Linked DNA regions of Xenopus tropicalis. The protein of the gene in region 2 purifies or fractionates together with the protein of the main gene of each other region. This does not show direct contact. Links are inferred from orthologs where the notes say so. Each region holds a gene or a part of one and is shown on either strand. Other genes may lie near its edges.

What was found. The genes of interacting proteins can lie anywhere in the genome.
Region 1: the proteins of lats1 (region 2) and cul4a purify together in Homo sapiens (affinity purification with western blotting; 3 studies listed by BioGRID). This does not show direct contact. The link is inferred for Xenopus tropicalis from reciprocal best matches to the Homo sapiens genes LATS1 and CUL4A.
Region 3: the proteins of lats1 (region 2) and sav1 purify together in Homo sapiens (affinity purification with western blotting; 3 studies listed by BioGRID). This does not show direct contact. The link is inferred for Xenopus tropicalis from reciprocal best matches to the Homo sapiens genes LATS1 and SAV1.

The regions. Positions count from the first base shown.
Region 1 is NC_030678.2:116,025,193-116,028,847, forward strand, and holds part of cul4a (cullin-4A), read right to left. Parts: intron 2,618-3,655; coding exon 2,514-2,617; intron 2,360-2,513; coding exon 2,290-2,359; intron 461-2,289; coding exon 387-460; intron 1-386. UniProt on the Homo sapiens protein: Core component of multiple cullin-RING-based E3 ubiquitin-protein ligase complexes which mediate the ubiquitination of target proteins. As a scaffold protein may contribute to catalysis through positioning of the substrate and the ubiquitin-conjugating enzyme.
Region 2 is NC_030681.2:58,191,831-58,195,917, forward strand, and holds the start of lats1 (serine/threonine-protein kinase LATS1), read left to right. Parts: upstream 1-1,263; 5' UTR 1,264-1,366; intron 1,367-4,087. UniProt on the Homo sapiens protein: Negative regulator of YAP1 in the Hippo signaling pathway that plays a pivotal role in organ size control and tumor suppression by restricting proliferation and promoting apoptosis.
Region 3 is NC_030684.2:93,078,961-93,082,615, reverse strand, and holds part of sav1 (protein salvador homolog 1), read left to right. Parts: intron 1-870; coding exon of another isoform or gene 871-875; coding exon 876-1,317; intron 1,318-3,124; coding exon 3,125-3,395; intron 3,396-3,655. UniProt on the Homo sapiens protein: Regulator of STK3/MST2 and STK4/MST1 in the Hippo signaling pathway which plays a pivotal role in organ size control and tumor suppression by restricting proliferation and promoting apoptosis.

The DNA.
Region 1 (3,655 bases), on a different chromosome or scaffold from region 2:
ACATCAGAGGGAGTACTTAGAAATGACTTAATATATGGTCAGTTGTAAGTGGCAAAAAACATGTAGCAAAAAAAAAAAAAGACAAAACTCGTACATTTGATAACAGCCTGTGCAGAGAAAGAATATTACATACTAGTGTGAACTAGGCCAAATTTATCCAGTAAGCATTTTTGCTGCTGCAAACACTGTTTTACATAAATTCCAGTACATTCCTTAGTTGGAATGTTTGTCAATAGATCAGACAGTAAATATAACATACTTCTAAACAACGTATGTAAAGGTAAAGCCACTGTGTCAATCTGCTAATGAGATTTATATATATATATATATATATATATATATATTACTGTATTATATATACACACACACACATACTATAAACGCACCATATTGATGGAAGCATTGAGTTCTGAAGGACATAAGTACGATCCAAAAATAAAAAAATACTTCTGATCATGATCTAAAGAGAAAGAGAAAATTTAAGTAAAAATTAAGCTAAAACATTTCCAGTAATATTCAAATTTCCAGTTTACCCAGGGTTCTTTATTTTAAAAATTCAAGTTTGGGTCTTAAGTAGTTGTGTTAAAGTTGTGTTGAAGAGTATAATATTACAATGCCTAATATATAATAGGTAATATATGTGTATACACTAGTAAGTTTAATAGAACTATTTCAGCAAAAATGAATATACTTAATCTTGTACAGGCCTATAATGTAACCCAGGCCTGGAATAGAATTCAAAATAGACAAAAGCCTTTCAAATGCACAAAGAGCCTCCTACCAGCTCACTTAATAATGACTGTCTTTTGCATCTTACAGCAGCCAGTCTGGCATTAGCCAGAATCCACAGATTGACAGTCCAGGCCTGACTTAAACCACAAATAACCAGAAAACTTGTTTACTACATGTAACATCCATAAAATACATAAGAAAATCAGTTTTATGTAGTGTGGAAAAAGGGCAGTTTCTTTTATTTTCTTGACCTTACCCACTCTTAACTGCCTTGCTTATATCTGCATTATACTAAAACCATACAAATTCCAAAAGTGTTTTTTGGTGTGGGTGTTGGGCTACAGAGGAGAAAAGCAGAACAGAGATAACATATTATTATGCTTAAGGGACCCACATTTTTCTCCCTTTGTATTTAAAGGAAAACTATACCCCCAAATAATGGAGGTCTCTATAAAAATATATTGCATATACAAGCCTATATGTAAAACCCTGCTTTATCTAAATAAACCATTTTTGTAAAAATATATTTTTAGTAGTATGTACCATTGTGTACTCCTAAATAGAAAATTGCCATTTTAAGAATTAAGGGTCGTGATCTCTGAGGGAGCACACAGCCCATCACTAAATGGTGGATCAAGGGAAAGGATGTAAAAGGGCAATGTTTACTAACATATATTTCCAGTTTGGCAAGATTCTTACTAGGTCACTTAACATAAAATCAACTGTTGGTTAAGTTTTCATTCTGGAAGTATAGATTTCCTTTAACTAAAGCACTTAGATAAAGATAGGATGGCATTCCTGTAGCAGGTTTTTATTTTTCATTTTTTTTAATTTGTATCTCCATAACTTAAGTCTGCTAAAAATCATTTAAACATTGAATACACCCAATAGGCTTGTTTTGCCTCCAATAAGAATTAATTATATCTTAGTTGGGATCAAGTACAAGGTACTGTTTTTATTATTAGAGAGAAAAAGGAAATCATTTTTAAAAATTAGAATTATTTGCTTATAATGGAGTGTATGGGAGATGGCCTTTCTGTAATTCGGAACTTTCCGGATAATGGGTTTCCGGATAAGGGATCCCGTACCTGTATATCTATATATACATACATACATACATACATATCTATCTGGTTTTTCCCTGAAGAAGAGCACCGTTAGTGCTCAAAACGTTGGATCTTTTTCAATAAATGCTTTATCTTTTTGCAAAGTCCCTGTGTGTGCGGCTCTCTGCTTCTTTACATACATATCTATATATACATCTTGCTACTTGATAAACAGGCGGGAGCCTTGAAACGTTGTAAGTAATGCAATTATTATGCACAATGCAGTAAAGATTTTTTCTTTTTTCATTTAAACGAGTCTGGATTTTTGTTTCTTATATTTTTATATATATACACACACACACACACACACACAAAACCTTTATGACAGCTAAAGTTTTAATTTCATAAATACACACTTTTTTTAAACATTGTTTTCAATCAGTACCCACACCAACTTTACCCTTACTTATGGAATTTCACAGAACACAAACAAAAGCAATGGTACACTTACCATTTGTCGGCAGTGATCCTTCCAACATCTGTTAACCTTTTTTAAAAATAAAAAGCTGTCTAGAGAATCTGTGCACACATATCAGAAGTTAAGGGTTCTGTAATACACATTCTTTTAAAATGTCAGCACATTGCATTTATCAGTTATAGTAGAACAAATTAATAAAAAGGGTCAAACTTAGTGTGGCCCTTAGAATTCTATATAAGTCTTTAAGAAAAGGATATTCCCTGAACTGATGGATTTGAGCTTTCATATGTTCTTCACATACTTGACGAAGTTGTTTGTAAAGGGTATGAGAAACTTTATAGGAGCATAAATTTTCTACAGCCTGAAAAACAACATAGTACACAGTGCTTTTTTACAAGATGAACAAAATTACTAAAGCTGATTTAATTAAATGTTAAAAAATGAAACTTGTGATGGACTAGATCAATCTATTACAGTGTGCTCTACCAGCTTTAGAATGCCAGATACTGCTATAGCATTTCCTTCACCGATGCTTAGAAGAACAGCAGCACATAAGCAGGTATGCACACATAACTAAGGTCAGTAGGATGGAGGCAGAAAACACGGATTACATCCAGAAAAAGTGGAGCACCACGTGGTGAAAAATAAAATCAGTCTTTATTTAGTCACATTAAAACGGTACATGTAAAGACTGATTTTATTTTTCACCACGTGGTGCTCCGCTTTTTCTGGATGTTATCTACTTGTTTGGGGCCATTGGGAGTTGGTCCGTGAGTAGCACACGTGGATGAGTGGCGGTAAGTGCTCCCGTGTTGATATAACTTTTCTGAGAAACAACTCATAGCAAGACTGCAAGACACAAAGGCTGAGAGCTTGCAGGGAGCAGGCATTTATACTGCCTTATGCCTGCCTTGTATTGTGCCTTGTAAAGGTTTGTGCGCCTCATGGATTTTGAAAAAGAGTTGTAAACAAGACTAAAGAAAAGTATAATTGGACACAGTGCAGGCAATTTTCTTCTTGTATGCCAGATTTATCCCAAGTTGCTTACATGCTTTTAACAACACTTCAAGATGAGCTAGAGACCCTCTGGAGTAAGTTTGTTAAACTGCATAGCTATTGGAGCCATATTTTGTCAACAGACAAGTTGCAATGATGTTGGGAAGGTGGTGACGTTAAATAACAGTATACCCCCTTTCCAACATGAGTTTAATAAACAAGGATTGTCCTAAACATACTTTTGGCTACTGTTTTACTCACAGATTACCTAAGGACAAATAAATAGAATTCTATTATGCAAGGGGAATATCTTGCAAGTACAGGTATGGGACCGGTTATCCAGAATGCTCAGGACCTGGGGTTTTCCGGAAAAGGGATCTTTCCATAACTTGGATCTCCATAA
Region 2 (4,087 bases):
CTCCCCTTCTTTAACAGAAGTTGAACATTACCTCGAGTAGGATATCACTGATTATTTAAACCAATGTACTGTATATATCCTGACCAAAAACACGCTTGTAGAACCAGTGTCAATGTTTCATGTTGTTATATGTTATAAATGCATAAATAAAAAAAAAAAAATATATATATATATGGGGATAATATAATAACCTCTCAAATACTTTATTTTCCAGTAGGTCCTTTCAACGGACACAGGGACACCGACCCGGTTTAGAATACGGGAGGTCCTGTTTAAATATTCAGAAAGGAATTTTTACTGTGAGAGCTGTGAAGTTGTGGAACTCCCTCCCAGTCATACTGATACAACTGATAAGGGGCTGGATGGCATTTTAGCAAGTGAGGGAATACAGGGTTATGGGAGATAGCTCTTAGTACAAGTTGATCCAGGGACTGGTCCGATTCCCATCTTGGAGTCAGGAAGGAATTTTCTTTCACCCTCTGTGGCAAATTAGAGAGGCATCAGGGGTTTATGGATTTTTTTGCCTTCCTCTGGACCAACTAAAAGTTAGGCAGGTTATATATAGGCATTAAGGTCAAACTTGCCCCCCACCTTCTCTTAAGTCACTGATTGGCTACCAACTTTTAACAGGTTAGAGAGATGCAAAGAAGGAAGTAGTGTTCTGGCTAGACATCTGCTCACCCCAGTATTTAAAGATTATATTTTTGGCTAAGTATATTGAAAACATTTTTTTTTATTTTGCGCAACCTATCTACCCAGTTTTTTCACTGAACAATTCCTTTAAAAGTAGTGGTAGTAATCTGATATAATTTTAAACAGTAACCATATCTGTTCTGTGTATTTAGTTGAAAACCTCCTTTCCCAAACCTCTAGTTGAAACAGTTATCTAAGAAGATTTATCCACCCAGCCTGCAAGACTATTTTCGGAACCCCCAGATGACCTAGACCCTAAGCAGAAACCAAATACGTAAAAATGAAGTTTGGACACAGTACAAGTAGGAAGAAAAAAGTATAGGGAAGAAAAAAGTATAGGGAAGTAAAAGTGACTTACTTTCAAATAACGACCAACGACACCTACAAAAGGCGTTCAAGGCACCAAAACAAACAGATTTGGCTGCTCCGTACAGTACTTCAAACCACTTCCTAGTGAAGAAATGCACATTTGTGGCGTCAGCATCACGTGACTCCGACGTGACTGTTCCGTGATGAAGTCAAAACGCTCTTGCGTGTAGGCGGGCAGCCGGCAGTTGACAGTGGGAGGAACCGGAGGTTGTGAAGGGGGAAAAGTTACATCCGGGAATCTACAAGTCATATAAGCCCAAAGCTCAAAATGGCTGAGGTTTTGGGATGATTTGTGAAGTAACTGGTAAGTAACCCTTTATTTGTGAGGAGTAATTTAGTTGCTCAAAAAATTAAAAGTGCATGTGAACCTGGGTGGTGGTATGTACGAATTGTTTGTTTAGGAGGGGACTGTGCCGTGAAAAACGAGTAGTTTTTCTGCAGAAGTAAGAAACAAAAGTTGTGATCGAGTGTTGTTCGATGTTCGTAATACTGTACCGTTTTCGTGTTCTTGATCGATTAATTTAGACATGGAATGACTATTCGTTAGAAAGTGAACCCAGTTCTAGTTAAGAACAAAGAAGTCTGCAAAGTAAGATCAGAACGCTTGGATAGAATGTCTAGGTGCACCACCAGCGCTATCTCCAAACTCGGATAATACAGTAGTTCTGTGAAAAAAAGGTTTCACAAGATATAGATAGTGCACACAGAAGTTTTCTTTTTCCAGAAAATGAAATGGTGGTAATTTGCTTTTACATAGACAGTTATGCATTTTTCTAGGTGTGGAATAGTGTGGCCAGGTTATGATTATTTGCAATAAATGTTGGGGGCCATATGATTGATATGTGTTCACAATTATTCAAATTATATTTCACACAGGTGTTCTTATTTGTAGGATTTTATGTATTTCTATTAGTAGACATTCTTAAGGTAAAAATATTTATCAACCCAAGACCTCAATGAATCAGTTCAGCCACTATCCAGAATTTTGTTAATTATGATTGCTTTCTTTGCCTTACTAAGCAAAACTTGTTTAAATGCTGTAAGTTTTGCCCTGGTGGAAAATACTTCATTAACACACCAAACTTCTTTTCTCTAACTAGTGACATGAGTGACATCCGCCTGTCACTGCAAACACTGGAAAGAAATGATGCACGAAAATATGTACCTAAGTTAAATACACCCTGTGTGCACAATGACCGGTGGATGCATTGAGGCCAAAAATGTGCATTGCAGCATTTTAATAGTCACCTGTACTGTTTTAGAAAGTAGGCAGGTAATTTATCAGTTTTGTATATATTAGCAGTATTCGGACACAATGGGGTCACTTATCAAAACTGTGTAAATCAGGATGTGGGCTGCATCAATAAGCAGATGTGAATCTAACAATTTAGCCAGATATTGGTCGGTCAGGCCTGTTGGAAGGACCAAGTCAGCAGCTTTTATTGGCTTGTGTATGGCCAACCTTACTTTTGCTGTTATTGCTCCTAGTTGAAAAAGTCACCGTGGTTGCAGTGGGTTTCTGCCCTGGTGCAAATAGTTTTTTTTTGTTTTTTTGATAACTGAGCCCCACAGTCTTTTTTCCTCCAGGAGTCCACAGAAGCTAAAATATCCTTGTAATATTAACTTAGAGGAAGCTTGAATGGTGTACATGGAGCAATAAAACTTGGACCACCGTGTCTTGAAATACTCACATGAACGCTTCTTGTATGTTTCAGCCACAGCTTATTTTACTTGATTTAATCAGAATAATGACAGGCTGACGTGGGCATTTCAAGGCTGGACTGCAGCTGCAGTTAAAACCATAAACTGCAACATAAATTGGAGCCACCATGGGCAGTTTTGGCCTCTTCTCAATCCATTAAAATACACCAGCATGTTATTATTAGCCATAAGCTGGGTAGCATTAGCAGGATAGAAATCTGGAGCTCCTATCCGTTAAAACAGCAGATTTCTTCCGGACAGGTGTCTGGGAGAGTTGTATTCTTCTTGCCTGTCCTTTGTTCTGAGGGCAGGCTGAACAGATGAGGCTCTGTTCACATTAGCTGAGGGAGGCGGTTTTACTGACATCCCTTTGCAAGGCAGCAGTAAAGAGAGGCTGCAAATTTACCCTTATGTCTGTATTTTAAAGGGATACTGTCATGTGGAGAAGTGCTTTTTTCACAACACATCAGTTATTAGTGCTCTCCTGTTGATGTTACCGCCCAATGGCAGATGAGGGCATTTTGTTGCCCACATGAAATCATTCTCCTCACAGCAGCAAAGCAACCAGAAATACAACCGAATAACGTCCTCTGTAAATTGCCGCTTGTAAAAGGGACTTCTTACTTTGTTCAGCAAACATGCAGAACAGAACATTTTGGAGCAGTTAAAAAAATAAATAAATAAATTAAAAAAAGAGAGTTTTATCTGTGATGAGTTACATATGGTGCAGTTCAAATGTGTTTTTGGATGCTTTGTTACCCATGAAGTGTAAAGTTTTCTGACATCACCCAATCTGCAATTCCCCTAAAGGTGGCCATACACGGGCCAATTTCAGCTGCTGATATCGATCCTTTAGACCAATTCAACAGCTTATCTGCCTGTGTATGGGCACCAATGATGGTCCTCCTGGACCGACATTTGGCATGAAATCAGCCAGATCTCGAACTGGCAGGTTTGATTTTTCGGTCGGATCAGGGACCACATCAGCTCGTTGATGTGGTCCCCGAACAGACAGCGGCTATGCCCGCCGTTTTAATGCAAACGAATTAGCCCCATATATAGCCCTCCCGTAGGTGGGCATATCAGGAGAAGATCCACTCACTTGGTAACCTCGCCAAAGGAGTGGATCTTACAGTGTATGTCTACCTTAAGTGCTACATCACATGGGTAGGATGTGGGGGGTTATGCTGACACTGTGGTCAGGGAAAACCAGCAATGGTTAAAACAGCTACAGTATGTCTGCCTGTCACAGCTTCTGATAACATGAAATGTAATTTGACTAAGTATGGTTATTGGTGGAGTTCTACCTTTCACTGCTTCATGT
Region 3 (3,655 bases), on a different chromosome or scaffold from region 2:
GCATATGGGACATAACTGTTCAGTTCGTATGCATCTGAATCTGACCTGCATGCTCACAAACTAACTGAACAGATATTGCCCCCCCTAAATGTCCTGACTAATGAAGCAGTTAGAGAGCTGAAAGCAGTAGTAGAATTCTGGCCATTATGTTAGATATCTGCCCACTCCAGCCTTTATAAATTACGTTTTTGCCTAATTACAAATATTTTTTTTTTTGTGCAGTCAGTCCATTTTACCCAGTTTCATTTACCCACTTCCTTAGCATATTGGCTCTGCTAGTAAAAAAAAAAAAAAATGGTGCTCTTGCCATATTTTACAGCACTGATTTCTCAGAATGCTCGGATTAAGGTCCCCTTTGAGGTTAAGCATTTGGTCAGGGCACATCTTAACTCACAACAAGGATTGAGAAACAGTTTTTTCAATCATAGTTTTAATAATGTATTGGACATCAAATAAGGATTTATCCCAGATCTCTCTGTAATTAGTGTTCAAACTTGGGGTTCAGGAGTATTAAGTAAATAGTAATTCTCCACATAGCTCTCAATAAATGAACTTTGGCTTAAGTCCCCAAAGTAGGCCAGTCCCAGAGTTTGGGAACCACTGATCCTCAGCCAATGCCTCAGTATGCCCGCTTTTGCCAAATATGCTAACATCCATTCCTGTAAATATATGTTTCATTCGCTTCCCTCCCCCTCCTCCCTTATTAGAGTGCCCATAAAGTGTAACGTAAGTACACCCCCACAATAATTGCATTTGCTTTGCACTATAATGAACAAACAATATACTTGGAAATTTTCTATATAATGAAATATTCATTAATTGGAATATATCTTTGAGAAACTATTTAATCACGGTTTGTTCTTCTTTCAGATCTGATGCCTTCTTTTATCCGCCATGGGCCAACTATACCGAGACGGACTGATATCTGCCCACCAGAGACAAATACTACGCCCTACACCCCCCCAGGAGATGGAGCTGTTTCTAGGAACCAAAGCTTTTTGCGAACACCAGTTCAGAGAGCTCCACAAGAAATTTTGCGCAGAGAAAGCAATAGACTTTCTGCACCTCCCTACTTAGTAAGGGGACTAAGTGATGTTCCCAGGGAATATGCCTCCTCATCTCAGTCATTTTTAACAGATTCCAGTGCAGTTATGGAAAATGGAGATGTGAACAGCAGATATTTTTGCTCAGATTTTCAATATGATGGACAGAGGAGAAGACAAGTTGGGGATCGTGTACATGAAGACTACAGATATTATGAGAACAGCAATGACCATGTCCAGAGGATTGTACAGGCACCTGGCAGGCACCCAGCTGGTAGGTGAAGCCATCTGTAATGTTTCTGTGTGGACCTAATATGATCCCTGTACTGTTTGCACTCTCTAGTCCCTGTCCGTGTTTTAAATGAGGGATGAGCCTGTCCTAACGGCCCCCGCTAGAAGGACAGTAGGAGGTGGATAGCCAATCACAGCCCTGCAGTCACGCAAGCAAAGGTAGGCGTCAGTTCACTGTCAGGTGCGTTTGGCTGCAAAGTGGTTCATATCCTACAGTACGGTGTGCCACCGGCCCTCTCCACATCTTGGAAAAGGACACACAGTATGTCTCCTTTAAAATAACACACCCCCATTGTACAGTTGACTGAATGAATGATGACTGAATGCACTTCCATTTATTGAAGTTTGGACCGTCATGGCTTATCATATCTTTAGTAAAACGTTACTGAGAACAGATTTAGTGACAGAATGCAAACATTTTATCTGCCCAGAGAAACTGTTCCAAGGCAAGCTGCTCGTTATTTGACAAGATTTGGCTTGTTTGTTTTTCTCCCTTTCTCAAAAATGTTATAGAGTTGCTTGTTTGATGCCATATAACCAACTGTCCTTGAGTGTGTTAAGCTTTGCAAGATTCTGATTAAGCTTTTTTCCTAAAAGAGATACTGTTGTCACAGAAAAGTAAGCTTTCCAATATCTAAATACAATGTGAAATAAAGTATAAATTCATGTAGTTTTGAAGAAAAAAAAATTCATGTCTGAAACTATATCTGGTACAGGTATGTGACCCATTATGCAGAATGCTTGGGACTTGGGGTTTTCTGGATAAGGGGTCTTTCTGTAATTTGGATCTCCCAACTTATGGATAATGGATTTCCAGATAATGGGTCTGATACCTGTACTGGCATTGCTCTGCTTCATTTCAGGTAAAACAGTGGTTGTTCTTATTCATGATTAGACCACTTGTCTTTTAAGGCATACAACAGTTACCTTTTATATGTAATATTCTTTACATTTACTACGCTTTTCTTTGAAAGGCCTTCATGTACGAGAGACAAGATGTAATGGCTTGCAGATATCAGACTTTTTACTACGACTTTATCCCATTATAACCATATCTACATCCCTATAGGATCTTTTCTTTTTGTTCGTTTTTTTTTTTTGAACTGTTACATTCTTATGGGTCCCTTTCCATCACTCATCATGTCTGGCAGTTAGAGCTGTCCTCCCTCCCATGGCATGTCATGGGTCCTTTTAGTTTAGATCTCTGAATTTCCTGTATAGTTGTTTATGGGACCCCTCAAAATCGTACCAGAATCTTGCCAGAAACAGGATAACAAAGAAATTTGTGCTTCATTTCCATTCCACATTGCAAACATATTTTGGTGATTTGGGATCCCTGTGTCACATACGTAGGCCAATAGCACCCAAATGTGTTGTTGCTTCATTACTTTGTCTCTATGACACAATGCAAGGAAAAACTTAAATACATATATTATAAATGCATACACGTGTATTTGCCATTACAGCTGTTCTTTCTTATATGTGCCCCCCCCCGTATTTATGTAATTTTGACTTTTTCAATGTGAGCCAAGACTTGAGACAGAGAGGTTTATTCAATAATAAATTGAGTGTCCTACTCAGTCATTTGGAGGCATGTGCCAGATGTAAAGTAGAGGGAAGCTGAGTGGCTTTCTTAGTAGCAATTAAAGGGAAATAAAAAAAAATATTTTGGTGAACTGGGGATCCTTGTGTCGCTGAATTCCCCTTCATGTATGGATTAATGTTATTTATCAAATGATATCTTAGGACACAATGACAATGCACAGTTAATATTTGCTTTACTATTTTAGGTATTGGTAGAGTTGCTGCTACGTCACTAGGAAATCTAACAAATCATAGTACTGAAGATATGCCTCTGCCACCTGGCTGGACAGTGGACTGGACTATAAGAGGAAGGAAATACTACATAGATCACAATACAAACACTACCCATTGGAGCCATCCACTTGAAAGGGAAGGATTGCCCCCTGGTTGGGAGAGAGTTGAATCAGCAGAATTTGGAGTGTATTATGTGGACCATATTAATAAAACAGCCCAATACAAACACCCATGTGCTCCAAGGTAAAGTTGTATAGAAAATTAACTTTGTTTGTTGCAGCTACTTGCAGTAATAATATTGTGAAACAGAATGTTAGAGACCTTACGGGTTATGTTATACAGTGGTCTGCCGTGGCCCTCCTAAGCAGAAGAGTGGCAAGTAATACATTCTGTTGAATGGGAAATGGCAACCTTATGTCTCAACAGCATTTGCATGAAACAGCTGCTGTTTAGGGAGGCAAAACTCAGCATTACTGAATGATATTCATTTCCAGTAACCAGCA